Linked DNA regions of Macaca fascicularis. The protein of the gene in region 7 interacts with the protein of the main gene of each other region in a pairwise test. Links are inferred from orthologs where the notes say so. Each region holds a gene or a part of one and is shown on either strand. Other genes may lie near its edges. The genes, in order: RNF138, MKRN3, DTX3L, BIRC7, TRIM39, RNF167 and UBE2K.

Evidence for each region.
Region 1: the proteins of UBE2K (region 7) and RNF138 interact in binary tests that used the Homo sapiens proteins (3 or more experiments, as listed by UniProt). The link is inferred for Macaca fascicularis from reciprocal best matches to the Homo sapiens genes UBE2K and RNF138.
Region 2: the proteins of UBE2K (region 7) and MKRN3 interact in binary tests that used the Homo sapiens proteins (3 or more experiments, as listed by UniProt). The link is inferred for Macaca fascicularis from reciprocal best matches to the Homo sapiens genes UBE2K and MKRN3.
Region 3: the proteins of UBE2K (region 7) and DTX3L interact in binary tests that used the Homo sapiens proteins (3 or more experiments, as listed by UniProt). The link is inferred for Macaca fascicularis from reciprocal best matches to the Homo sapiens genes UBE2K and DTX3L.
Region 4: the proteins of UBE2K (region 7) and BIRC7 interact in binary tests that used the Homo sapiens proteins (3 or more experiments, as listed by UniProt). The link is inferred for Macaca fascicularis from reciprocal best matches to the Homo sapiens genes UBE2K and BIRC7.
Region 5: the proteins of UBE2K (region 7) and TRIM39 interact in binary tests that used the Homo sapiens proteins (3 or more experiments, as listed by UniProt). The link is inferred for Macaca fascicularis from reciprocal best matches to the Homo sapiens genes UBE2K and TRIM39.
Region 6: the proteins of UBE2K (region 7) and RNF167 interact in binary tests that used the Homo sapiens proteins (3 or more experiments, as listed by UniProt). The link is inferred for Macaca fascicularis from reciprocal best matches to the Homo sapiens genes UBE2K and RNF167.

What each region holds. Positions count from the first base shown.
Region 1 is NC_088392.1:57,762,737-57,766,236, reverse strand, and holds part of RNF138 (E3 ubiquitin-protein ligase RNF138), read left to right. Parts: intron 1-1,838; coding exon 1,839-2,004; intron 2,005-3,500. UniProt on the Homo sapiens protein: E3 ubiquitin-protein ligase involved in DNA damage response by promoting DNA resection and homologous recombination.
Region 2 is NC_088381.1:5,418,420-5,422,575, forward strand, and holds the start of MKRN3 (E3 ubiquitin-protein ligase makorin-3), read right to left. Parts: upstream 2,801-4,156; 5' UTR 2,692-2,800; coding exon 1,490-2,691; coding exon of another isoform or gene 1,168-1,489; exon of another isoform or gene 910-1,167; coding exon of another isoform or gene 888-909; exon of another isoform or gene 1-887. UniProt on the Homo sapiens protein: E3 ubiquitin ligase catalyzing the covalent attachment of ubiquitin moieties onto substrate proteins.
Region 3 is NC_088376.1:160,683,290-160,687,528, forward strand, and holds the start of DTX3L (E3 ubiquitin-protein ligase DTX3L), read right to left. Parts: upstream 2,801-4,239; 5' UTR 2,747-2,800; coding exon 2,560-2,746; exon of another isoform or gene 2,380-2,559; intron 1,306-2,379; coding exon 1,094-1,305; intron 1-1,093.
Region 4 is NC_088384.1:119,341,141-119,345,077, forward strand, and holds the start of BIRC7 (baculoviral IAP repeat-containing protein 7), read left to right. Parts: upstream 1-1,137; 5' UTR 1,138-1,563; intron 1,564-1,897; exon of another isoform or gene 1,898-2,060; 5' UTR 2,061-2,086; coding exon 2,087-2,435; intron 2,436-2,521; coding exon of another isoform or gene 2,522-2,715; exon of another isoform or gene 2,716-2,806; intron 2,807-3,890; coding exon 3,891-3,937.
Region 5 is NC_088378.1:142,316,204-142,319,703, forward strand, and holds part of TRIM39 (E3 ubiquitin-protein ligase TRIM39), read right to left. Parts: intron 3,460-3,500; exon of another isoform or gene 3,440-3,459; 5' UTR 3,306-3,439; intron 3,035-3,305; 5' UTR 3,028-3,034; coding exon 2,575-3,027; intron 1,534-2,574; coding exon 1,438-1,533; intron 1-1,437.
Region 6 is NC_088390.1:5,062,335-5,064,384, reverse strand, and holds the end of RNF167 (E3 ubiquitin-protein ligase RNF167), read right to left. Parts: intron 1,332-2,050; coding exon 1,260-1,331; intron 1,170-1,259; coding exon 1,089-1,169; intron 1,013-1,088; coding exon 711-1,012; 3' UTR 501-710; downstream 1-500.
Region 7 is NC_088379.1:38,999,319-39,003,423, reverse strand, and holds the start of UBE2K (ubiquitin-conjugating enzyme E2 K), read right to left. Parts: upstream 2,801-4,105; 5' UTR 2,786-2,800; coding exon 2,712-2,785; intron 1-2,711. UniProt on the Homo sapiens protein: Accepts ubiquitin from the E1 complex and catalyzes its covalent attachment to other proteins. In vitro, in the presence or in the absence of BRCA1-BARD1 E3 ubiquitin-protein ligase complex, catalyzes the synthesis of 'Lys-48'-linked polyubiquitin chains.

The DNA.
Region 1 (3,500 bases), on a different chromosome or scaffold from region 7:
CAAGTGAAAACTGGCATCTTGTTTACTTTGCGTTATTTTGGTTTCTGGCTATGGTAAATATATTTAATTGTTATTGTGTTTTGAGGGACAGTATTGCTCTGTCACCCAGGCTGGAATGCAGTGGCACTTTCATAGCTCACTACAGCTTCAACCTCCTGTGCTCAAGTGATCCTTCGCCTCAGCCTCCTGAGTAGCTGGGACTGGACGTGCATGCTATCATAGCCAGCTAATTTTTTTTATTTTTAATTTTTATAGAGATAGTGTCTTGCTATGTTGCCCAGGCTAGTCTTCAACTCCTTGCCTCAAGCCATCCTCCAGCCTTGACCTCCCAAAGCACTGGGATTATAGGCATGAGCCACTGCACCCTGCCTAATGTTTTGGTTTGTAGTATTAATTGGTAATGACTTCTAGTGCTGTTTTAATGATGTTAGCTACCATTTGTTGAGCACTTTCCTGACTATCACAAATACTGTGTTAAGCATTTTATATGTGTTATCTATTTTAATCCTCTGAACAGCCCAGTCAATTGTAGATACTTTTAATATTTCATGACTGAGGAAACGGATTTTATAGGGGAAAACTGACTTGTTTAAAAGTGCTACATTGGCCAGGCGCGGTGGCTCAAGCCTGTAATCCCAGCACTTTGGGAGGCCAAGACGGGCGGATCACGAGGTAAGGAGACTGAGACCATCCTGGCTAACCCGGTGAAACCTCGTCTCTACTAAAAAATACAAAAAAACTAGCCTGGCAAGGTGGCGGGCACCTGTAGTCCCAGCTACTCGGGAGGCTGAGGTAGGAGAATGGCGTAAACCCGGGAGGCGGAGCTTGCAGTGAGCTGAGATCCGGCCACTGCACTCCAGCCTGGGCGACAGAGCGAGACTCCGTCTCAAAAAAAAAAAAAAAAAAGGTGCTACATGGTTAGGAAACTCAGGTTATGTGATCTGTTACTGCACCATTTCCCCTCAACTTTTGTTATGAGGATATTCATATATATTTATAGAAGATTGGATTAAATGTATATATATTCTAGATCCCAGATATATATGTCTGTAATTTAACTGGTTCTCTTGAAAGCAAAATGATCAAATAAGGTATTTGGTAGGGCTAGAGAAGATAAAAAGATTTTAGTTTGATTCTAATTAGAAAGTTGGTTATAAATGTTTAAAGCCGGAAGTATTCTTAAATATTTCTCAAATTACATTCCATTGCACAGTTTGGGAAATTTTCCTATTTCCTGACCAGATAACTTTGAGTAACACCTATTAACACGCAGATAACTTTGGGTAACACCTAACTTTGGGTAAAACCTATTAACTTTATTCTAGAACTTCCCAAATCATTTGTGTGCTCTTTTGTAGTAGACCTGTTTATGTCTTGTGGAACAACATGTCACAAATACATCAGTTTGAGACAAAAGCTTATGTCATTCATCCTTTTATTTTGTAAGGGGGGGAAATGGAGATCCAGTGTGGGTTAATTTGTTGGCCTAAGATTACACAGCTACTAAATGGCAGAGCCAGGATCCAGTTCTTCCTTTGTACCATGTTTCCTCTAGTAATATTATTAATATGTAGCATTAATATTTATTCATCATATACTGTGTTAGGAAGTTGTAAAGAAGACTTGAGTGTAATTTTTAAAACCTTACCATCTAGTCCAGTTATCAGTCTTACTCTCTGATAACTACATATACAGTTCTTAAACTTCTGAGATTTATGTGCATATGAGTAGCTTAACTTATTTAATTTGAATACATATTTATAATCACTTGTTTGTATTTATAGAGATGAAAAGAGTAATTTTTTTCTGTAATTAATGTGTCATAATGTTTGGTTTAGCTTCTGTAGAAAATGTTTCCTGACTGCAATGAGGGAAAGCGGAGCACATTGTCCCCTGTGTCGTGGAAATGTGACTAGAAGAGAGAGAGCATGTCCTGAACGGGCCTTAGACCTTGAAAATATAATGCGGAAGTTTTCTGGTAGCTGCAGATGCTGTGCAAAACAGGTAGAGTAAATGTGACATATCTCTTCTTTGGAAGCCAAGTTTCTACTCTGAAATTCTTGTTTGAATTTTCTTGGTTGCTGCTTTTTTTGTTTGTTTTTTTTTAAAAGATGAAAGATATTTAGACTGGGAATTGGATAGAAAAGGCCAAAAAAAGCTGTGGTCATAGATCTTACTAGATTATAAACTTACTGAGAAATGACACTGAAAAAAAAAATCACTGAATTTCATGATATTTAGCATGGCATTTTTCTAAAAGTAGTTTCTCATTGATTACTTACTTAAAGTAACTAAATTAGCAAACTGGCATTTAGCTCATTTAAACCTCATTCTGGTACAAATTCAACCCTTAAGTTTTTCTCATGGTAGCATCATTATTGCAGCTTTGCACATAGACATGTTACTAGTTTGGGCACATGGATTTATGTAGTTAAGGAACTCTCTAGCTGCTCACTTTACTTATATATTTATGTATTTAAGAAATCACAAGCTGCGGGCATGGTGGCTTACGCCTATAATCCCAGCACTTTGGGAGGCCAAGGTGGGTAGATGACCTGAGGTCAGGAGTTCGAGACCACCCTGACCAACATGGTGAAACCCTATCTCTACTAAAAATACAAATATCAGCTGGTGTGGTGGTGCATGCCTATAATCCCAGCTACTTGGGAGGCTGAGGCAGAATTGTTTGAACCCAGGAGGTGGAGGTTGTGGTGAGCTGAGATTGTGCCATTGCACTCCACACTGGGCAACAAGAACAAAACTGTTAGAAAAAAAAAAGAAATCACAACATATTTGGTTAATTTTAAGGAACATGTAGGAAAATCAGGTGTTAACAAATAACCAGCATTAATTCTCTAATCTGGATTTTATTGTTCTAGCATTTGGAGAAGGAATAAAATAGTGAGGGGTGGTTAGGCTTTGAGTATATCCATGTGTCTATAGATTTATCACCGACATTTTTTCTAATAGCTAATGAATTCAGAGCAAAACTGGTTGCTATTTCATGCATTCACACAAGTCAGATCTGCTTTTCCATCTTTTTGAAGGAAGTGTTTGACAGGGCAATGAATTGAAGCTAGAAAACACACTTGAGGGATTCTGGCTATTCCTCTCAGTGAGAAACTGAAAAATGTTCCAAGTATTCCTGGGAACTTAATTTTTTTTTCTTTTTTTGGAGACAAGGTCTCACTTTGTCACCCAGGCTGGAGTACAGTGGCACAGTCTTGGCTCACTGCAGCTTTGACTTCCCAGGCTTTAAGCAATCCTCCTGCCTCAGCCCCTCAGGTAGCTGAGATTACACGTGGCTAATTTTTGTATTTTTTTTATAAACGGGGTTTTACAATGTTGCTCAGGCTGGTCTCGAACCCCTGAACTCAAGCAGTCCACCGCCCCAGCCTCCCAAAGGGCTGGGATTACAAGTGTGAGCCACCGCACCCAGCTAGGAACTTAATTTTTTAAAACTGCTTTCTAACTCTGCCAGGCTGCAGAAGTTAAATAAT
Region 2 (4,156 bases), on a different chromosome or scaffold from region 7:
TTTTTAGTGCTTTCTATATTTTATTATCTTTCCATTATTTTATTCTCACTGGTTTTAGTATTTTTGTTCTATTTTCCCTTTTATAATCTTGTTACTTTTATGTTGAAATCTTTTGTCTAAAGCCCCTTGTTGGGAAAGTCTAGAGACTTTGTATATCAAATACAAAGCACTGTGCCTCTGAGCCTAGGATTTGCTGTTACAAAGAATTATTGAGAAGGTGGCAAAACTGCGTAGGAACACAATTTCTGTTTTTATAGAGTGAGCTATTAATGCCATTGTAAGAATTACCAATATAGTGCTTTGTAAGTCCTCTAAGATCTGCATCTGTTACATTTGGCCAGACCCACTTGAACAGTCCTTTTCATTAGATGCTAATTACTGGCTTCTGTGCAAGGGACAGAATGATTATTCACACAACTCACATCCACACAACAGCCAATCCTGTTAGGCTTTGACCTTCAGCTTTCGGCTCTGTATTTACTTTATTACATAAACATAAATATTGTGATGTATATTCTTTTATATATATTTTCAAATACATAGCTCTTATACATATATATTATATATATATCATTCTTAAATATATATTTCCAAATATAAATTATTTCATGTCAAGCTAAACAGGATAAAAACATGTAAACATATACACTTGGTTTTGGTCAAGTAAAACACAAAATCACAAGTTCATCACAGTTTAACAAGTGCACTTGAAGGGGAAGGAGGGAAAGAACAAACTGTAAACAGATGAGCAGCTGCAAGACCCTGCGAGGGTCCATTTGTTAAGGCTATTATAGCACAAAGCTACTAGTTCAATTAAAACTTCTCCTTTCACTCTGCCACATTTACTCTTGAGGGTCTTCAAAATAAGTGTGGAAATTCAGTAAACACTACACTAGAACTGAGTTAATCCTGTTGAAAACAGAGATGACAAAAAAAGCCATAAGCTGACATTAATATTAATTTCACCAAAACAGTAACTTTAAGGACTTATTTTTTTAAACACAGATAATCACCATAATCCTAGGAGGAAAGATATGCAGAATAGACAAGAAAACAGAAGCACTGCCTCAACAGCCCCTGAAAGCAATAAGAGTGTCAACACAGGGAAAACAGGCAATAGCAGACGACAGAACCTCAGCAGACTAGACCACATGCCACAGCACAATGCTACAGATTCAAATTGAAATATTCTTCCAGCTCATAATGAAGCAAGTCCCACTGGTCCTCAGAGAAGGGTAACTCATCTCTCAGTAAAAGAAACCGCTTAAACAACAGACTGGCCAGTCGAAGCACGACAAGCTCCTTCTTACGGCTTTTATAGAGCATGTCGCCCTCTCCCATTCGCACAGGCTCCACAAGTTGATGCCAGTATGCGCCGAATGACCCACCACCTGGCCCAGGAGGCTCATCTCCCCAGCCCTCAGGGTATTCATGCTTGTAAAAGCATGTGTCTCCAAATGGGCAGTTACCCCTGCCTTCCGCAAAATACCTGCAGGCCTTGTTGCTCATTGCCTCCTTGTATTGCTGAATAAGTTTCTGCTTCTCTTCCTCCTCCTCCACCCAGAACTCACTGGGAACGACCAAGTCGGAGGTGACCCTGCACTGCGGGCAAGACTTGATGATCCTGTTATCAAACTGTCTGGCACTTCTCCACCTGCGGATACACCTAATACAGAAGGTATGGTTGCAATTGGAAAGAATGCCAAAGCGGCGGTCATTGGGGTTGGCTTTCTCATAGACAACCTCCATGCAGATGCCACACACCTTGTCCATACCACGCTGCACAGCAAACGAGAGTTCCATATCTTTCTCGTGTGCTTCAATGCAGGCCCTTATATGGTCTTCCCTCTGGGCAGCATCCATGGGGTGCAAGGCCTGCAGCCCACACATGTCGCATATGTCTCCATGGAGGAACATACAGCTCTCCCCACGAAAGCAAACTCCCCTGGAAGCATAATAGCAAAACCGCAACCCCCTGCCCACAGCCATCTGATTCCTCTCAGTCTCTGAGCTCTGTGGAGGAGCCTCGGGGGCAGATGCAACCCAGCGGCCCCGGTAGGGCTGCCCTGGAACAAACTCAATGGCATCCGCCCAGCTTTCTACACCTGCTCCTCCAGCAGCTCCACGGTCTGCATTGTCTCTCTCGGCTTCAAAGAAACCCCTTTCAGCAGCCGAGCCAATCACAGGCAAGGAAAGGGAGGATGCAGCCGGGGGGGCTTCCGCCACTTCCTGAGTCGGGGGCTCGATGTGCGCAGCCGTGCTAGGGCCTCCACCTGCAGAGGCCCCAGGCGGCGAAACGCTGCCCTCAGTGGCCATCTTCCGACCAGAAAGGTCGTGGGAATAGCGACAGTTCTCCCCCTCCTTGCACTGCCCATGTATATAATACCTGCAGATGATCTGCTTTGTCCAAATGCCGCTGCTTCGGCTTGGAAACGGATTGCGCCATGCTCCTCCTCCTGAGGCTGGTGCAGGCCTCAGGCCTCCTGTGCGGAGGTGGGCAGGGACTGGAGCTACAGGGAAGGGGGCCCAGCCCACAGGCGCATGTGGCAGGGCCGAATCTGGAGCAGCAGATTCCCTGGAGGGCTCACAGACGGGAAGGTCCGGCCCAGACACACCCTCCCCTGCTGCCTCAGCACCTGCCTGGGCCCCGGCTGCCTCCTGGGCTTCTGAGGGAGCTGCAGGCTCTTCCATGGCAGCTTCTTTACCCCGAAATGGTGCCAGAACGTCTCCGGTATTTTTTCTTTATGGGCTTGAGGCCCGGAGTCGCGGCCGCGCTCGGAGGCTTCTCTAGGGGAAGTGTGCATCTCTTTTTCTTCCCCCCCGGTTCTTGGCTGCCTGTGACTGTGTGTTCCTACCTACTTCCGGGCACAGGCAGCGCGGCGGACACTTCCTGTGGGGGCAACGTACGCGCCGCGCTTGGATTTTACCGCAATTTTCCAATCTGACATATTTTTTGTTCACACAGGCAGGGACCAACCCAGCCCCTTTTGTCTGCCTTCTGCCTCTGCTTCGCTGTGTTCCGGCAGCCCCTAATTCCCTCCTCACACCGTTTCCTCAGGAGAATGAGGTTTTACTTTAATCTCTTTTGGTTTCAGTCATGCACGTCTTCGTTGTATTTTCGTATCTGTCTGCTTTAAAAAAATTAGAATCCAATAGATTCTGAAACATTTCATACATGAATTAGATAAATCCTTTTTTGATTCACTCCATCTTATGTCTGCGTTTTTTTTTTTTTAATGCCCTGTCACTGCTGGAAGATTTTTTCGATTTGCTCTGTTGACAAAGCGTCGTTTCTTTTGGTCTTTGTTTTCTGGGATTTCTGAGGGCTTACGCAGGATACGCTTTTCACCAGCAAGGCATTAGCAGACAGCGCTTCTGATCCGAGGCTAAGTTAGCACCTTTCAGATGTCTTTCTTTATTGTGATTACTATGCTCGTTTTCCCACTGTGTAGAAGCCCCAGACTTCAATCATTCCTGATGCTGGCTGAATAAGGCACTGTCCCCTGCATGACCCAGGCTTTTATTTTCTCTACTGGTTTAATTCATGGCAGCCCTTTGTTTCTCTTGCTTTCTTTCAACCCCATCTGTGCTGTGTTGTGGCATACTATCCACAAAGGAATGGTCTTTAATTTCCATATATAAGCGTTTTGTCATTTTTGCAGATACGTGTAGTGGATTAATCATTTTTTTGTATTCCTACTTTGCTGAGAGTACGTATCATGACTGCATACTGAATTCTGTCATGTAGTTTTATATATTTTTTGAGATAATCTTGTTTTTCCCTTTATTCTCTTAATGTGATTATTTGCAGCTATGAGTTTCAAATATTTAACTGACCAATTTGTTTCTAATAAGAAGCCCTTCTGTGTCATGATATATCGTTTTATATATTATTGGATTTTTTTTTTTCTGTAAGTTTCTTTGAGGAAATTTTGTTGCCTAAATCTGTAAAGTGGAAACATATCTGAATATTTATAATCACCCAAGTCAACAAATTAAATTATAATTAGGTAGGTAAAAGCAAAGAAAGCAGAATGAAGCAAATAATAAGGCCAAGAAAAGCAATGAAGAAAAACAAATATTAAATAAGGGAAATAAATTAAGTAAAATCCTTTAAACAGCTTATTGAAGCCAGATAATTTCTGGTGAAACTTAT
Region 3 (4,239 bases), on a different chromosome or scaffold from region 7:
CCGAGTTCCTAGCACCTCTCTCCCTTGCTCACTGCCCTCCCACCACACTGGCTTCCTTCAAGCTTCTGGGCCTCAGAATGTCAGCTCTTGGGGCCTTTGTACCTATGCTTCCCTCTAGGACATTTTCCCCCCAGAAATCCACTTGGCTAGAGATGTCATCTCACTTGAGGTTTTTCCAGACATCCTATTTTAAATGGTGGTTCTGTCATTGTCTGTCACGTATTCTTCTTATTCTTCTTTCTAGCAGGTATGACTGGCAGACATTTTATTATATATCTATTTGTTTATTAATATTGTCTGTTTCTCTCACTAGAAGGTGCCATCCCCAGAAGCAGAGTCTGCCATGTTCCTGGCTGCCTCCCCAGCTCCTATAACAGTGCCTGGAACACATTAAGCAGTGGATATCTATTGTTGAATGAATCTTGTCATCATTCAAGTTGCAGGCCAAACGTCACCTCCTCAGTCAAGTTGTCTCTGATTTCTGGTTAGAAGTAGAACCAGGCTAGGCGCAGTAATTCATGACTGTAATCCCAGCACTTTGGGAGGCCAAGGCGGGCAGATCGCTTGAGCCCAGGAGTTTGAGAACAGCCTGGGCAACATAGTGAGACTCCGTTTCTACCAAAAAAAAAAAAAAAAATTGGCTGGGTGTAGTGGCGCCTGTAGTCCTAGCTACTCAGGAGGCTGAGGTGAGAGGATCGCTCGAGCCCAGGAGGTCAACGCTGCAGTGAGCCATGATTATGCCACTGTACTCCAGCCTAGGTGATAAAGTGAGACTCTGTCTTGTTGGGGGAAAAAAGAAATAACACCACCCCCATCTTCCCTTTGCTCGCCCTAGCCCTGTTTCTCTCCAAATAAATAAAATGGTTCTAATTATTTCACTTGCCTACTGTCTTTCTGTGCATGCCCTGGGCCCCAATATGAGCCGCCTGAGAGCAGGGACCTTGTCTGTTGTGTTCGTCTCTGTGTCCAGTGCCTAAAACAGTGCCTGGCTCCCATGTATGTGCCCAGCACATGGGTGTTGGATCAATAATACATGAGGCTGGTGACTGGAGAGGAGGCGCAGGTACAGCCAGCTCCTTCTTTCAATACTCACCTTTTCGAGACAGGAATCCACAGCATTAGGAATATGTCCTTCATGTTGATGCGTATCACTAGACGGTGTTTCTGCTTGTGACTGTGTCAGTGAAGAAATTTGAGGTCTCATGTTCTTCTTTATTGAATTTTCAGTGGGTACCAGGAAAATGGGCACAGGTTCGTTGTCAACAAGCATTTGGTGTTCTCCTTTTTTCAACACTCTCTCCTTAGCTTCAGCAGAAACATTAAACACACACATATACATACATAAAAATGGGAGAGATTTCAAGTAATCCTGTCATTCCTGTGTCTGTACCCTGCCCCAGCACCTCCCAGTAAGGCTGCTCACTGCACCCCGGAATGGTGGGTTGGCGATGGAGGAAATTGGGGAGCTATTAAGAGTTCTGAAGTGTGCGGATTAAGTTTTACTACAGAAGTGAAAGCTTAACGACAATGGAACATTGTCCACTCATTAAACGTCATGTTTCTGAAACTGTCTCCAGTCTCCCCTTTCTTCCTTCCTTCTTTATTTCCCTCCCTCCCTTTTTGTTTTTTTGTTTTGTTTTGTTTTTTGAGACGGAGTCTCACTCTGTCACCCAGGCTGGAGTGCAATGGTGCGACCTCGTCCCACTGCAACTCTCTGCCTCCCGAGTTCAAGCGATTCTCCTGCCTCAGCCTCCGGAGTAGCTTGGATTACAGGTGCGCACCACCACGCTCAGGTATTTTTGTATTCTTAGTAGAGACGGAATTTCGCCATGTTGGCCAGCCTGGTCTTGAACTCCTGGCCTCAAGTGATCCACCAACCTCGGCCTCCAAAGTGCTAGGATTATAGGCGTGAGCCACCACACCCATCCTGGTCTCCCATTTCAATACTCATTATACAGGTAAGTTACAGCAGCAAGTATCAAAAGTGCAGACTCCGAATTGTGTAAATACACGTGTGTTTGCTGGCATTCGTAAAAAAGGGCAGGAAGAAAATACACCAAATGGACACATTGTTTATCTCCAGGTTGTTTTCTTTTTTACTCTTTTCTCTTATTTCTATAGTGAGCATATATCACTTTTGTAATCCTCAAAAATACAAAATGGAACATCCTTTTGTTAATGGATGGAACAATGGAACCATTATTTAAAACATAAAAGTGGAATCCCTGAATGACAAGGACGGCAGCTGACAGGCATCTGGAGGATGGAAGATGACAGCTGAGAAATTAAGTTAGAATGAGGATATGGAAAACATCCACACTAAGGCGGGGTTAGCCGGATCCGCACCGGGCACATGTGAGGCCCTATCCTCCACCGAGTGTTCCCTGTCTCAGTGAGTCTCTTGGCAGCAGGGCCCCGTCCCTGTCCGCCACCGCACAGTGGCATACTTTCTTCCGCCCTCTCCCCTAGGTCAGCTGGAACTGGGTCCGCCTGGAAACCCGGGAGTCGGGGCCCCAGAGACGGCTTTCGGCTTTCGCAGCCCGACCGCCCGAAGCTCACCTGCCCTTTCACTGAACTCCACCCGGAAGGTGCCCGGGGCTTCGTGTTCCTGGGGCCTGACCGTGCACTCTCCGCCGCCCGAGGACTTAGAGCTCTGGAAGTAGCTCTCCAGCTTCCGTTGTACCCGGAGGCCGGACCCGGACACCCGCACGAGGAGCGGGGACGGCGGGCGCAGGTCGGAGGCCATGGCTCTGCGCGTCGGGAGGGCGCGGGGGCTCCGGGACGCCGCTGGGCCGGGACTGGGGTAAAGGCGCGGCCCGCCCCGCCGACTAGGCGCAAAGTTTCAGTTTCGCTTCCCCGGAGGTCCCTCCCTGTTCCCAGCAGAGCTGCTTCCCCCTCTTCCCTGTGCTGTCTGCACCGAGGCGAGTGGTCTGCCGGGTGGGTAGGTCCGGTGCCCCTGGGCCCTCGGGGTCCCCTTTCCTGCAGGCTCGGGGTACGGGGGGGGCGGAGAGTGGGGGCGGGCGCGGACCAGGATCCCAGGGCCAGGCCTCCCTTATGAGTAGACTATGCAAAGAAAGTAAGTTTCTCCTGTGTTTCTTATTCTTTGTAACTCTTACTGCTGTTATCACTATTATTTGATGCTAAAAAGTAATTCACATCTGAATCCATGTTAAACTTACCCATTTTTGAAAATTTGAATGTGTTCATCTGGTAATTGTGACCTGTTACCCCTTCCCTCCCTCCAACTCTACCCTTTAGACAGGCTCCTGGGGGCTTTTCTCCTCCATTGCTTGATTTAACCAACAGCACTGAATTGTTTCTTGCTGCCCAAAGAGCAGAGCAAGGCCCTGATGTCAAGGGCTGGTGAGGGGAGGCGGACCTGTGAACCAGGGAGCAAAACTTCTTCAAGGCCTCCAAGGAGAAGTTTCAAGCAGCATCTTAATAAACTGAGTGTGGCGACGAGATGGGGAGGACAGGGTTGGGGGGAAAAGCACCTAAGGCTTAGGGACCACTATGGTCTGAAGCACAGAGTGGGCCTGGGGCCTGGGAGGAGAGGAGATGGGTGAGGGGATGAGGGAGGGAGGGCCTACCTAGATGGGCACTGTCCAACAGAGATACAATGTGAGCCAGTATGTTCATTCTAAAATTTTTGCAGCCATATTTTTTAAAGGATAAAGAAACGGATGAAATTAATTGTAATGATGTTATTTAACTTGACATATCCAAAACTTAATCATTTCAGCACATAATGAGCTTTTTACATTCTTTTTATCATACTGCATCTTTGCAACCCAGTGTTTTTCTTACACTTACATCACATCTCGATTCAGACTGGCCACATGTAGCCTCAGTAGCTACGTGAGGCTGATAGTCCACCCTGGACAGCACATATTTAGATGGTGAAAAGCTTTGAAGAGCAGTAAATATGACTTGAAGGGTTGTAAGCAGGGAAAGCAAGAAAATGACTTGCCAGATATGCATTTTAGAAATATGGTGCTGACAATGGTGTGGAAGACACATTTACAAGCAGGGATGACTGGCGGCAGAGAGGACAGAGATAAGGTTTTTGCACATGGCTGGTAAGACTGGAAATGGGTCAGTCTTCACTGTGAGCAATTTGGCAGTACTGTCAGAATTACAACAGCATATGCTTTTTGATTCTGGAGTTCCATTTCTAGGGATTTGTCCCATTGCTATATTAGCCCCTGTGTGAAGTGACCTGTGTACAAAGATGTTCTT
Region 4 (3,937 bases), on a different chromosome or scaffold from region 7:
CTTGAGGATTCCGAGCAAACCTGGGTGCTGCATGTGTCCCTCCCCTGGAAAGAGCAGGCTGGAGATAGTGACCCCTCGTCCCACCTCCCAGGTGCACTGCGGGTGGACTGGGAACCAGGCAGCAAAATCCACCCAGCTTGAGGCCCGCGTCCTCCTGAAAGGGCCCCAAGCCCACACCCGGGGTGTTGCTGAAGTGACCAAAGGTAACCGCTGTGCTGAGGGGGCACGGGAGGACAGAGAGGGGGCGAAGGCGTGGTACCCCAAGATCATCCCAGAAAACACGTTGGGAAGTTCTACTTTGTGTCTAGCCTGACTCCTTCTCCGGCGCCCAGGCCCTTTCCCGACAGACACAGCCCTCCCCTCCTATGTCCCTGAGCTTCCTGGTGCCTCTCCCTCTGCCCCCGGCAGCCCTGGCTTCTGTGCTGCATCCTCAGCAGGGCCTGGAGACACCCCAGAGGCCTTAAGAGCCACACCCTTCACTTTGATTTCTGCAGGAAACGAGGTGGCTCTGGGCCTTGGATAGGAAAGGGTTGGGGGTCTCGCTGGGGCCCAGCAACACTGGCCTGAGTATGACCAGAACAGTCACCAGAGGCCTCCTGGGAGGGCGGGTGCAGCCCCAGCCCCCGCCGTGAGTAGGAGGAGCGGGGGCGGGTGTGAAAGTGTGGTGGGCAGCAGCAGGTCTATGCGGCTCAGCAGTGGAAAGTGAGCGGGCCAGGCTTCCAGGCGAGCTCAGGGACGGTTTTCACTGCAGCTAACCCTCTCCTGCCCGCCTGCACTCCCCGTGGTAACCAAAGGCCCTGCAGTGTGCGACTCCTCTTTATTCTTCCAAACTCTGTGAGCCTGCACGCTCCCATCCAGGACAGAACAGCAGGGGAGAGTGGCTGAAGGACGACAGGGGGCCTTTAGGGCCAGCTGGGTGGATGAGCTGAGTCTGCTAGGGTTGAGGGTTCAGTTGGGGGTCGGGGGGCATCAGTCGGGGGTCGGGGGGCGTCGAAGCCTGGGCCCCATCCAGCTGTCCTCTTTGTCCGGCCCAGGTGTCCCTGGGGTTCCTGTTGTGCCCCCGGCTTCTCTAGGGTTAAGTCCTCCTCCCCGTTCCCTCACTGTGGGGTTTAGCAGCATGGCCCAGCTGTGGAGTTTGGACTGGCAGTCGGGGTCACAGCAGACTCAGGAGCTCCGATTCCGGGACCAACACTGAATGCTCCTCTTCTGGGGACATCAGCGCCTCTCCCTTGGCTACTTGGGGAGGCTGGTATGGAGGGAAGTGGAGGGAGAAGGAGGAGGTGGAGGGAGACGCGGGGAAGTGAGGGGAGGTGGGGGGAAGGAGGGAAAGAGGGAGGAGGGAGAAGGGGGAAGGGGACGAGGAAGGAGAGGAAGAAGGAAGAGGAAGGGGGAGGGGGAGGGGGAGGGTAGGGCAGCTCAGGCCCTTCTGTCTGCTCTGATCTTCATGGCCTGAGGACAAGAGCTGCTCCCAGACCTGCGGAGGCCCCTTGGAGCAGAGGGATGTTTCAGAGAACACCCGGGTGACCTGCCTCCCTGCTCTGCATGACGCAGCACTAGGCCCCTGTGAGTCCAGCGTCACCCCTGCAAGGTGGGGGGTCACGGCCCCTGCCTGGACGGGCTGTGCAGCCCATCTGTCTTTACTTGGGCCTTCTCTGCTTCCAGAGGCTGCCCTGGGCGCCTGACCCTGGAACCTTCATCTCCAGCTCCCCAACCCCTCCCCCACAGCCCTGGGACCGGTGCCAGCCTGGGGAGGGGTCTCCATGCTCAGTTCCTTCCCGTCTTGTTCAAAGAGACACTGCCTGCCCACGTGCCATCAGCAGGATCCACAACCCTGCCAGGGGCCCCATGACACGCCCCCGCTGCACAGAGCATGTGACCCCAGAGGCTACCCTGGCCCGTTCCAGAAAGTGTGGGCCCTGGGATACTCCCCTCCCAGGGTGTCTGGTGGCTGGCCTATGCCTATCCCTGCTGTCCCTGGGGTGAGCCCGGAGGTCAGGAGCTCCAGAAGGGCCAGCTGGGCATATTCTGGGACTGGCCATCAGCCCCCATTTCTGCTGCAGACCTGGTCAGAGCCAGTGTTCCCTCCATGGGGCCTGAAGACAGTGCCAAGTGCCTGCGCCATGGACCACAGCTGTGCCGCTGGGCAGCTGGTGACGGTCCCACGCGGGAGCGCTGTGGACCCCGCTCTCTGGGCAGCCCTGCCCTAGGCCTGGACAGCTGCAGAGCCTGGGACCATGTGGATGGGCAGATCCTGGGCCAGCTGCGGCCCCTGGCAGAGGAGGAAGAGGAGGAGGGCGCCGGGGCCATGTCGCCCAGGGGGCCTGCCTTCCCCGGCATGGGCTCTGAAGAGCTGCGTCTGGCCTCCTTCTATGACTGGCCGCTGACGGCTGGGGTGCCGCCCGAGCTGCTGGCCGCTGCCGGCTTCTTCCACACAGGTCAGTCCCGGGCGGGGGGGCCTTCCTGCTGTGGGCCTGGGCACGATTCTGGACCCTTCCAGCCCAGGGCTCTGCCTCCTCCGTAGCATCCATCCCCCAACAGGAAGGGTCTGGCCGGATGATGGAGCAGGAGTCCTGCAAGCCCTTCAGTGCCCATGTGCTCCTGCCTGACACGCTCTCCCGGAGTCTCTGCTGGCCAAGTGTGTCAGACTGTGGGACATGAGGAGGGGCTGCCTCTGGCCATGGTCTGGGGGTCTCAGCTGTGGAGGCCACCAGCTTGGTGCGCAAGTACCTTTTTGTGATAGAAGTGGGTGGGGCTGACATTGCCTGGGGCCCTCACCGTCCTGCTGCTGGTCTGCACGGGGGGAGGAGATGTTTAAGGAACAGGATCACGGTGACCAAGGCAGGCGTGGTCAGCCGGAAGGTCCTGGCAGCTCAGCCTGTGGGGAATTTCTTCAGGACCCAACCTGCAGCCACTGTCTGGTCTTCCCCAACTAAATCAAGTCCCCGGAGTACCTATCCTCGTCTTGACCTGGGCCCGCTCCTCGGCCCTACAGCTGGGGACCATGTGGTCAGACCTGAGTTCAGGTCCCAGCTCTGCCACTTCCGGGCTGAAGGACAGGGCAGCAGGGCCCACTGAGGGCTTTACGAGTACTGGCACAGCCAAGGTCATTGTCAGCAGTGGGCTCTGGGAGGGCACCATCCTGGTAAGGCTGGACCAACTTAAGACAGCTGGTCGGGGGGGACAGTGGCTGGGACAGTCAGGAGTCGTGGTGTGAAGGGGCAGGCCTGGCTCACCCAACTCCCTGGAGGTCCAAGGCTCAGCAGGTGAAGGTCAGGCAGGAGGCATGGCAGGTGCAGAGCCAGGGTCTTTGGGGCTGGTCGAGGTCCAGTGCCTGATGCAGCCCAAACCTGTGATGTCAGTGGCAGGTGATATATCGCATGCCTGCCGATGAGGGGACGGGGCTGTCAGGAGGTAGAGCGAGGAGGGGTCCCCCACCCCTAAAGGGAGGCATGAGTTCCTAAAACCAAGCCTGGCCCCAGACTGGCCTTCTAGGGCAGCCTCCCTTCTTCCTCTCGCTGGGACTCATCTTAGGGAAGCAGAGACCTGGGGAGGGGCTCTTCTGGCTCCTGAAGCCTCAGGGCTATAGATGTGCCAGGCCCTGGGGGGCCCCCACTGCTTACTCTGGGAACAATGCAAATGCCAGCTCAGTCCTTTCCTGAACATTCTCACCCATCCTGGCCGGCACCCCAGACACCCTTGTCCCCTTTTCACCTTTGATGCTAGTGAGGTGCAAGAGTCCTCCCCCACCCAGCCCCCTGCCCACCCCCTCCTCCCTGTTGCCACCTGGGAGCTCCCCTCCAGTTGAAGCTCTCGCAGCCTTGGAAGGACGTACCGGGGGGGCAGGGGGCTGGATGGGGCCTGGCTGGGGCCAGCATCTCTCCGCACCCCAGGCCAGCAGGACAAGGTGAGGTGCTTCTTCTGCTACGGGGGCCTGCAG
Region 5 (3,500 bases), on a different chromosome or scaffold from region 7:
ATTTTCTCCACTTAACTTTAAGCTCAAGGAGGGCAGGAACTGTGTTTTGGCTCATCATTGTTCCCCAGTGTCAAATACAGGGTTTGGCCTAAACCAGGAGCTTAACAAGTATTTACTGATTCACGAAGAACTAGCATTCCTGGTTTTGCCACTTACTGGCTTCATGATCTTGGACTAGTCACTTACTCAAGGTCCATTTCCTTCTGTGTAAGCTGAAGGTAATAATACCTACCTTAAAGAATATCTAAGTTTACTCCTACATCTTACTAAAGATGGCCTCAGGATTTCCTTCTGTCTCTTTCTCGTAGCTTTTCTATGTCTCACTTATCCCAATTTGGCCTGAACTTCAAGACCCTAACAACCCTATGTCATGGATATCTAATGAATTAATGCATAGGACTCAATTCTAGTTATTTTTGCTACAAATGATAATTGTTCACTGTTCAACAGAAGAAAGACAAGACACCAAAATACCATGCTAAAAATAAGGCAATGCTATAAAAGAGGTGCAAAATTGTATGAAAATTAAGAACGTTAATTTCTGAAGGGTCAGGAAAGGCTGCATAGGAAGTGGCTTTCATCCCATCTGAGAGATGAATAGGATCCTATGGTGGAGGATGGGGAGGGGAAGAACATTCTAGGACCAACATCATTTAGCATACTTAAGCTTACTTGAGTTTTAAGAATGTGGTCCTAATGTCATTGGATAGTTCTTCTGAGACTCTTGGTCAGCTCCTTTTCCCTTTCTCCCCAGTGAATCTTCCACATTCTCCTCTCTTCAAGTCCTCTAAGAAACTCCCATCCCTGCCTTCTCAGCAGAAAGCCTCCTTTGCTGCTTTAACAAAAAAAGGAGACCAAGAGGCACGAACTCTCTCAGCTCACCAGATGTAAGATATTCTGTCTGTTCTTCATCTCTTAAATCCCTCTTAATACTTAATTCATGACAAGTAATTTAAGTACAATGTTTAATGACAATCAAGCCTAATAAAATACCATAATTTTTGAGAGAACTACATTGTTCTTTCTTTCTTTCTTTTTTGAGACAGAATCTTGCTCTGTTGCCCAGGCTGGAGTGCAATGGTACGATCTCGGCTCACTGCAACCTCCACCTCCCAGGTTCAAGCAATTTTCCTGCCTCAGCCGCCCAAGTAGCTGGGACCTGTACACAGGTACGTGCCACCAGGCCCGGCTAATTTTTTGTTTTTAGTAAAGACAGGGTTTCATCATGTTGCCCAGGGTGGTTTCAAACTCCTGAGCTCAAGCAATCTGCCCACCTTGGCCTCCAGAATTGCTGGGATTACAGGTGTGAGCCAGCATGCCCGGCCAAGAACTGCATTTTACTAATGAATTGGAACTGGTGGATTAAATAGTGTATAGTTAATACCCTCACAGACAAATACCCTTCAGAGCAGCCTACATGGGATTGCCTGCCTTTACCTTGAGCTCACCAGGCTTCTTCTCCTCAGAGGACTTGCAGCGAGTGATCTCCTGCAGCTTCTGTTCCAGGGGCTCCAGACACTTCTGCAGTTTTTCCTGAGGGGTAGGGAAGAAGTGGGAGAGGTGACATTTGGGGTTGACTGGTACATTTCTCATTCAGAGATTAAACCATTTGTTTTAAACCATTTATTTGCTTCCTAGCCATCTTACTGCCTCTTGATCTGATTTCCTTCCTTGCCTGTCATTTGGGATGTCAATTTCCTACAGTCTGTCCACATCACCTTCTCTGCTCACCCAACTGTCCTCTTACTGAATTTGAGATAGCTGTCACCAACTCTGTGTCCTTTCTCAACTCTTTCCACTTTCTTACTGAGACAACTGCCTACTACCATCAAAGCAACCTTCTGTAACCTGATATTTTTCTTTAAACCTGTCCTCCCATCCACCTCTATCCACCTAAAATAAAAACATGGTCATTATACTGTAAAACATGGTTATTATACTGTAAGTTACCTGAAATCTTGTTTTCAAGAGTAACATAATTAAGCAAAGTATATGATAAAATGCTAACACATTAATCTCTGTTCCCTTTATTCAAACATTTTCCTGTGTCTCAGCAGTAAGTTAAATGATGTGCCATGTTAACCATTACCTGGAGAAGCTACAAACAACAGAATGGTTCAGCTTAGTCTGGCAGGTATCAGTCTCAAGTGATATTACCTATGCCCAATAACCAATGTGAAAACAAGGAGCATTCTGAGCAGGCAGGCAGAATGAAGAAATGAGACTTTTCAGTTCCTCCTAAGTTTAATCTTTTCCATGTGGTTTCATTCATTTATGAAAAATATGATACCTTCCAAGACCACACATACCAATATTCACCCATAAGACTCATAATATTCACCCAAAAGACTCATATGTATTGCAAAAGTCAGATAGAAATTTTTGGACACTTCTCACCATTGTTCTTTTTCAGGCTAGAGGACAACTGATCACACATACTGTGTACCCCTGCATATGCAGCTCTGAGAATACAAAGTGAGTAGTAGAAGCTTAAGATCTCTACCTAGGGAGTATTTCATCCTCTGCCACTGCTCCTTTTTTACCCACACTGACATCATGTGTCTGCTTCCCCACCTTGTACTCCTGTGTAGCGTCATCCAGTGGCACAACGGTGTGGGCCCGGTGGGTGTGGGAAATTGCACAGATTAAGCATACAGCCTCCTGGTCCTCATAACAGAAAAGGCTGAGGGCCTCATGGTGTTGGGGGCAGAGGCTCTCATCCCGGATCTTCCGCTTGACGGCCTGGAGCTGCTTGGCAATTTCCACCATACTGCCTAGTTGCCGATTAGGTCGGAGACTGCGGTAGCGGGATGTCTTTCGACAGACAGGACAAGGGAAGTCCCTCTCTAGGTCTTCCCACCAGCGGGTGATGCAAGCTTTGCAGAAGTTGTGCCCACACTCAATGATGACAGGTTCCTTCAGATACTCCAGGCACACAGAGCAGCTTGCCTCCACCTGTAAGTTCTCCAAAGCCGCAGCTGTAGAGGCTGCAGAGGCCCCAGCCTCTAACAGACTTGTCTCTGCCATAATTTAACTTGGGAGTGGGGAAGAGGACAGAAAAAATAAAAATATTAATTGGAGGTGTTTTTTTTTTTTTTTTTTTTTTTTGCATCCCTGGCCCAACATTTATCCCTGTTAAGTCCTAACTCCAGATTTGCCCAATCTTGTTATTCTCCATCTTCTCTTTCAATCAATTCAATCTCTTTGTTTCTCCATTTCCAAAACTTGTGACTCCCAGCCATTAACCTTTTTTTCTTGTTAGTAAACTGACACACAACCCCCAATTTATCTATCTTGTCTCTTACCTCTGCTTTCTCTTGTTAGAAAGAGCAGCTTCCTTCAACTCTAGCTCAGCATACTTCTCCTGATCCAGGTTCATTCCACTTGTATCTTAGAACCAATAGTTCCAGACCACTGTATCCTCGTTTGACATACGTTTCTAATAGATAAGAAAGGAATCTGAGAAGTAAAAAATGTCATAAAAATATTAACATTTCTTA
Region 6 (2,050 bases), on a different chromosome or scaffold from region 7:
CCCCTCCTGTGTGTGGTTGGAAAACTTTTTTGTTTTTTGGGTTTTTTTTTTTTTTTTCTGAATAAAAAAGATTCTAACAAGGTGCTGTGTGATTTGAGCTTGGGTGTCAGAATGGGGGACAGGCACTGTGACTTGCCTCCTTTATCATGGCTTGGGAGCAGGAAGGTTGAGGTACTACAAGGTGCAAGAATTTGAGCTTCTGGCCAGGTGGCCCTGCCCCTCCACAGTGGCATTTCCAGGCCTAAGTCCTCAGTGTGCTGGTTAAATTGGTGGATAATGGAATAGAGCCATCTGGACCAGAGAATGGGTGCAGGCCTGCAGGCAAGGCAGGGCTAGTTGAGTCATCCTTGTGGGTGGGGCTCCCCCTGAGTCATAGCAAATGCCTGCTGGGGCTGTCCCCATGACTATAGGTTAGTGTCTCAGCATTCTCTTGCTCCTTATGGCTAAAGGGGTGATTCCCCCAAAGGGTTAAGTTCACCTAAAAATTATCTCACCCTTCCTTAGTCCACAAAAAACAATTTTATTAGCCCAAGAAGTGAAGACCCAGTCCCTTTGCTTGCCCCAGCCCCACCCCAATGCCCCTCAAAAGGATAGGTGTGGGTAAGGGAGCAACTTAGGATGGAATGTCCCCTATCCCTCAACTTAGAAGACTGGAGGGAAGAAGACGGTCTGTGCAAATAGGTCACCAGAAGTGTACATGTAGAGGGTTATTAGACCAGGATGACGGGGGAAGAGGGAGGAGAGGGTGGGGGATCTGTTGAAGGCCCAGGAAAAACAAGGGGAGCTGGGGCTAGGGAACCAAATGAGGTGGGAAGAGTGGGGCTAGAACCCAAAAGTGGGGTCCTTTCGGAAGCAGGGTGGTCCCTTGGCTCCCCTTCTTCACCCTCCTCTTGCCCCTGAGCTTCTTCCTCTTGCTCTTCGTCCCCAGGACCACGATGAACAGGCTGCTTGCAAATGGGGCAGGTCTTCCGGGTCTGAGTCAGCCAGGGGTCCACGCAGCGGCTGTGGTAGGCTGCAGAGAGGAACAAGGTGAAGCACCTGGTGGCTGCCAGTGGCAGAGGGGCATGGGCAGGCAGTGAGGGCCTCACCATGAGCACAGGGGAGTACCCGCAGCTTGTCTCCATCTTCATATTCATCCAGGCAGATGGCACAGACATCATACTGGTCTCCTGGGACAGAAAGAAAATAATCTAGTCCTTCACTGAGCCATCGTGACCCAGGGCTAAGGCTTTTAAAGCCTTGCGAAAATTTTCCCTCACCTACAAAGCCAGTGGAAGAGCTAAGACAGGTAGGCAGGATAAGGTCAGGGCAGAACATGGAAGAATTTAGGGCTAAAAGGGACAAGCAAAGAGAAGCAGAGGTAAGAAGGGAAGTGGTTTTTGGGGAGGTGTGAGGGTGGAGATACGGAGTGGAAGGGACGGAAATGGGCAGAGCTTCTGCCATAGCCTTATACGGGCACTGGAGGCCCCAGGGCCTAAAGCCCCAGCCCCACAGTACCACTTTCTTCCTTCTCTAACTGAATCCTCCCCCATTCCTCCCATTTTTCTGCTCTCCACATCCCCCATAAGCAAAGTCTGTCCCTCTATTATTTCCCACAATTATTTCACTTAATCATCTTTGCTTTACATCTCTCCCATCTTCACTGTATTTATGGGTAAAAACAAGACAAGACAGCATCTCAAGCTGAAAATTTCTTACTGCCATCTTTATTACTTTTATTTTTTTGAGAAAGGGACTCCCTCTGTTGCCCAGGCTGGAGCACAGTGGTGCAATCTCAGCCCCCTACAACCTCCGCCTTCCTGGTTCAAGTGATTCTCCTTTCTCAGTCTCCCAAGTAGCTGGGACTACAAGCGCACACCACCATGCTCAGCTAATTTTTGTTATATTTTATAGAGATGGGGTCTCACCACGTTGCCCAGGCTGGCCTGGAACTCCTGGGGTCCAGGGATTCACTTGCCTCAGCCTCCCAAAGTGGTGGGATTTTTTTGTTTCATCATGTTGCCCAGGCTGGTCTCAAACTCCTGGGCTCAAGCGACCTACCCACCTCGGC
Region 7 (4,105 bases):
CACAACAGAATATGAAAACATAGCTACTTCTGACATCTAACAGCTATCTGTTTAATTATGTCCCAAGGTTATTCTAAGCACTGTAAAGACACTCTTAATCTTCCCACAGTTTTTACAGATAAAGATAATCGAGATACAGAGCCAGTACTTCAGGTTTTAAGAAGAAAAGCCAGGACTCAAAGCAAATCTAATTATAAAGCCCATGCTCTTAATTACTAAGCTAACTTCACTAAATTATGCTTCAGGAGTTAAAAATCTCTACCTCCTTGGCAAGTTTAAGTTCTCATACTAAGAGGGGGAAAAGAAAAGACACATTTAAATAATACTGCATTGTTATCTCCTTCTGTAAAGTTGTATTAGCAGTCAGCTTTTACACTATCGTTTATGAAAAGGATATTCCCACAAACCAACTACTTATTATGACTAAACTGGTATGCAAAAAGCCTGGGTTCAACCATTAACCAGCTGTTTCTCTGAGGAACAATCAACCTCCTTGGGCCTCAGTTTCCTGATTTTATAGATGAGGAGTTTGGCCTAGATCTATTTCAGCACTGAAATTCAATACATTTTAGTACATTTTCTAAGACACTATATTTTTCTTAACAGATTTTGAACAGCATCTTTTGAAAACTTTCCAACTTAAAATACGTAACATATACTCACATCTGTTCTTTTACTCAAACATACTCAAAACTAATCTGTTATTAGAAGTCAGGAAAGTAACTAGAAAGGAAGGAGGATTCCTATGGTACTGGGAAGGGTCTGTTTCTTGATTTGGATGCCAGTCACACTTTATTATGTACACGTTTTACTTTAATATGAAAAAGGGTGGTTTTCCTCCCCAAAAGGTAACTATGAAGAAAGTTAAGAACATGATCTAACTCTACAACTATGTTTGAGTATATAAGAGCTGTGCAACCTTTCTGTTCTACATATGTAAATGTGTTTCTTGAATAAGTGCATCAATAATCTCTTTGTTCCATAGTTCCAATTCATGTGCCTAGAGAAAAGTTTATTTACTTAAGAATTTCAGCCAGGCGTGGTGGCTCACACCTGCAATCCCAACACTTTGGGAGGCCAACGCTGGCAGATCATCTGAGTTCGGGAGTTCAAGAACAGCCTGATCGACCACCATGGAGAAACTCGGTCTCTACTAAAAATACAAAATTAGCTGAGCTTGGTGGTGCATGCCTGTAATCCCAGCTACTCAGGAGGCTGAGGCAGGAGAATCGCTTGAACCCAGGAGACAGAGGTTGCAATGAGCCGAGATTGCGCCATTGCACTCCAGCCTGGGCAACAAGAGCAAAACTCTGTCTCGGGGGGGAAAAAAAAAAGAATCGCAATATTACCACAATTCCTTTGGGACTGTCTCCTGAAATTTGAGGTCAGTCTTAACTTTCCTCAGCTCAAGAAGGCTGGGTGAGGTGGCTCATGCCTATAATCCCAGAACGTTGGGAAGCTGAGGCAGAAGGACTGTGTGAAGCCAGGAGTTCAAGACCAGCCTGGGCAACATAGTGAGACCCCATCTCTACAAAAAGTAAAAACTAGCTGGGTGTGGCAGCACGTACCTGTAGACCCAGCTACTTGGGAGGCTGAGGTGGAAGGCTTGCTAGAACCCAGGAGGTCAAGGCTGCAGTGAGCTATGACTGTGCTCCTGGGCGAATGAGGGAGACCCCGTCTCAACAACAACAACAACAACAAAAAGCACCTAGCTCAAGAACCCCCCTCATACAGTCATACAGCCCGGGCACGATGGCTCACGCCTGTAATCCCAGCACTTTCAGAAGCCAAGGCAGGCGGATCACCTGAGGTCAGGAGTTCGAGACCAGCCTGGCTAGAAACCCCATCTCTACTAAAAATAGGAAAATTAGCTGGGTGTGGTGGCACGTGCCTATAATCCCAGCTACTGGGTCAAGCAGTAGAACTACCTGACCTGGGAAGCAGAAGCTGCAGTGAGCCAAAATCACGCCACCGCACTCCAGCCTGGGTGAGAGTGAGTTTCCATCTCAAACAAAACAAAACAAAAAAACTCCAGGTCGGGTGGCTCATGCGTGTAAGCCCAGCACTTTGGGAGGCCAAGACAGCCAGATCACTTGAGGTCAGGAGTGTGAGACCAGCCTGGCCACATGGTGAAATCCAGTCTCTACTAAAAATACAAAAAATTAGCCAGGTGTGGTGGCGCATGCCTGTGATTCCAGCCATTCCGGAGGCTGAGGCCTGAGAATCACTTGAAGCCAGGAGGTGGAGGTTGCAGTGAGCCAAGATCAAGCCACTGTACTCCAGGCTGGGCGACAGAGACTCTGACTCAAAACAAAACAAAAACAAAAAAGAACCTCCCTCATTCAAATACCCTCAGAATCCCATAGCATTTACTCTTTGCCCCTCCCATTTTTATCTATCCTTTGTCTGTCCTGTATCTCCAACCAGTAAGCCTTTTGGGGCTGTGGTCAACATGTTCAGTAACTATCAATAATGTATTCACTGGGAAATAAGAGTACATAGTCTTGGCTGGGCATGGTGGCTCACACTTGTAATCTCATCACTTTGGAAGAGCGAGGCAGGTGGATCACTTGAGGTCAGGAGTTTGAGACCAGCCTGGCCGACATCATAAAACCCTGTCTCTACTAACAATATAAAAAATTAGTTGGGCATGGTGGGGTGCGCCTGTAGTCCCAGCTACTTGGGAGGCTGAGGCAGGAGAACCACTTAACCTGGGAGGCGGAGGCTGCAGAGAGCTTGGATCATGCAACTGGACTCCAGCCAGGGTGACAGAGCGAGATTCCATCTGAAAAAAAAAAAAAAAAAAAAAAAAAAAAGTCCAGGCATGCCAGGCATGGTGGCTCACCATGTAAGCCCAGCACTTTGGGAGGCCGAGGCAGGCAGATCATCTGAGGTCAGGAGTTTGAGACCAGCCTGGCCAATATAGTGAAACCCTGCCTCTATTAAAACTACAAAAATTAGCAGGGTGTAGTGCCCGGGCGCGGTGGCTCACACCTGTAATCTCAGCACTTTGGGAGGCCAAAGCAGGCTGATCACGAGGTCAGGAGACCGAGACCATCCTGGCCAACATGGTGAAACCCCATCTCTACTAAAAAAATACAACAAATTAGCCGGGCCTGGTGGCGGGTGCCTGTAGTCCCAGCTACTCGGGAGGCTGAGGCAGGAGAATGGCGTGAACCCGGAAGGCGGAGCCTGCAGTGAGCTGAGATTGCGCACCACTGCACTCCAGCCTGAGCAACAGAGCGAGACTCTGTCTCAAAAAAAAAAAAAAAAAAAAAAAAAAAATTAGCTGGGCAGGGTGGCGCATGCCTGTAATCCCGGGATTCCAGCCATTCCGGAGGCTGAGGCATTGGTTGAACCTGGGAGGCGAAGGTTGCAGTGAGCAAGATCAAGCCACTGCACTCCAGGCTGGGTGACAGAGCCGAGACTCCTTCTCAAAAACAAAACAACAACAAAAAGGAATCTCACTCATACAGATACCCTTAGAATCCCATAGCATTTACTCTTTGCCCCTACCATTTTTATCTATCCTTTGTCTGCCCTGTATCTCCAACCAGTTAAGCTTTTTGGGGCTACAGTCAGTATTTTCAAAAACTGTCAATAATGTATTCACTGGGAAATAAGAGTATATAGTCTTGGCTGGGCAGTGGTGGCTCATGCCTGTAATCCCAGCACTTTGGGAGGCCGAGGCAGTTGGATCACTTGAGGTCAGGGGTTCAAGACCAGCCTGGCCAACATGGTAAAACCCTGTCTCTACTAACAATACAAAACATTAACTGGGCGTGGTAGGGTGCACCTGTAATACCAGCTACTCAGGAGGCTGAGGCACGAGGGTCACTTGAACCCGGGAGGCAGAGACCATGGTGAGCTGAGATTGTGCCACCATACTCCAGCCTGGACGACAGAGCGAGACTCTGTCTCAAAAAAAAAAAAAAAAAAAAAAAAAAAAAAAAGCCCAGGTGCAGTGGCTCACGCCTGTAATCCCAACACTTTGGGAGGCCAAGGCGGCAAAATCACAAGGTCAGGAGTTCGAGACCAGCCTGGCTAATATAGTGAAACCCGTCTCTACTAAAAATACAAAAAATACCAAAAAAAAAAAACAAAA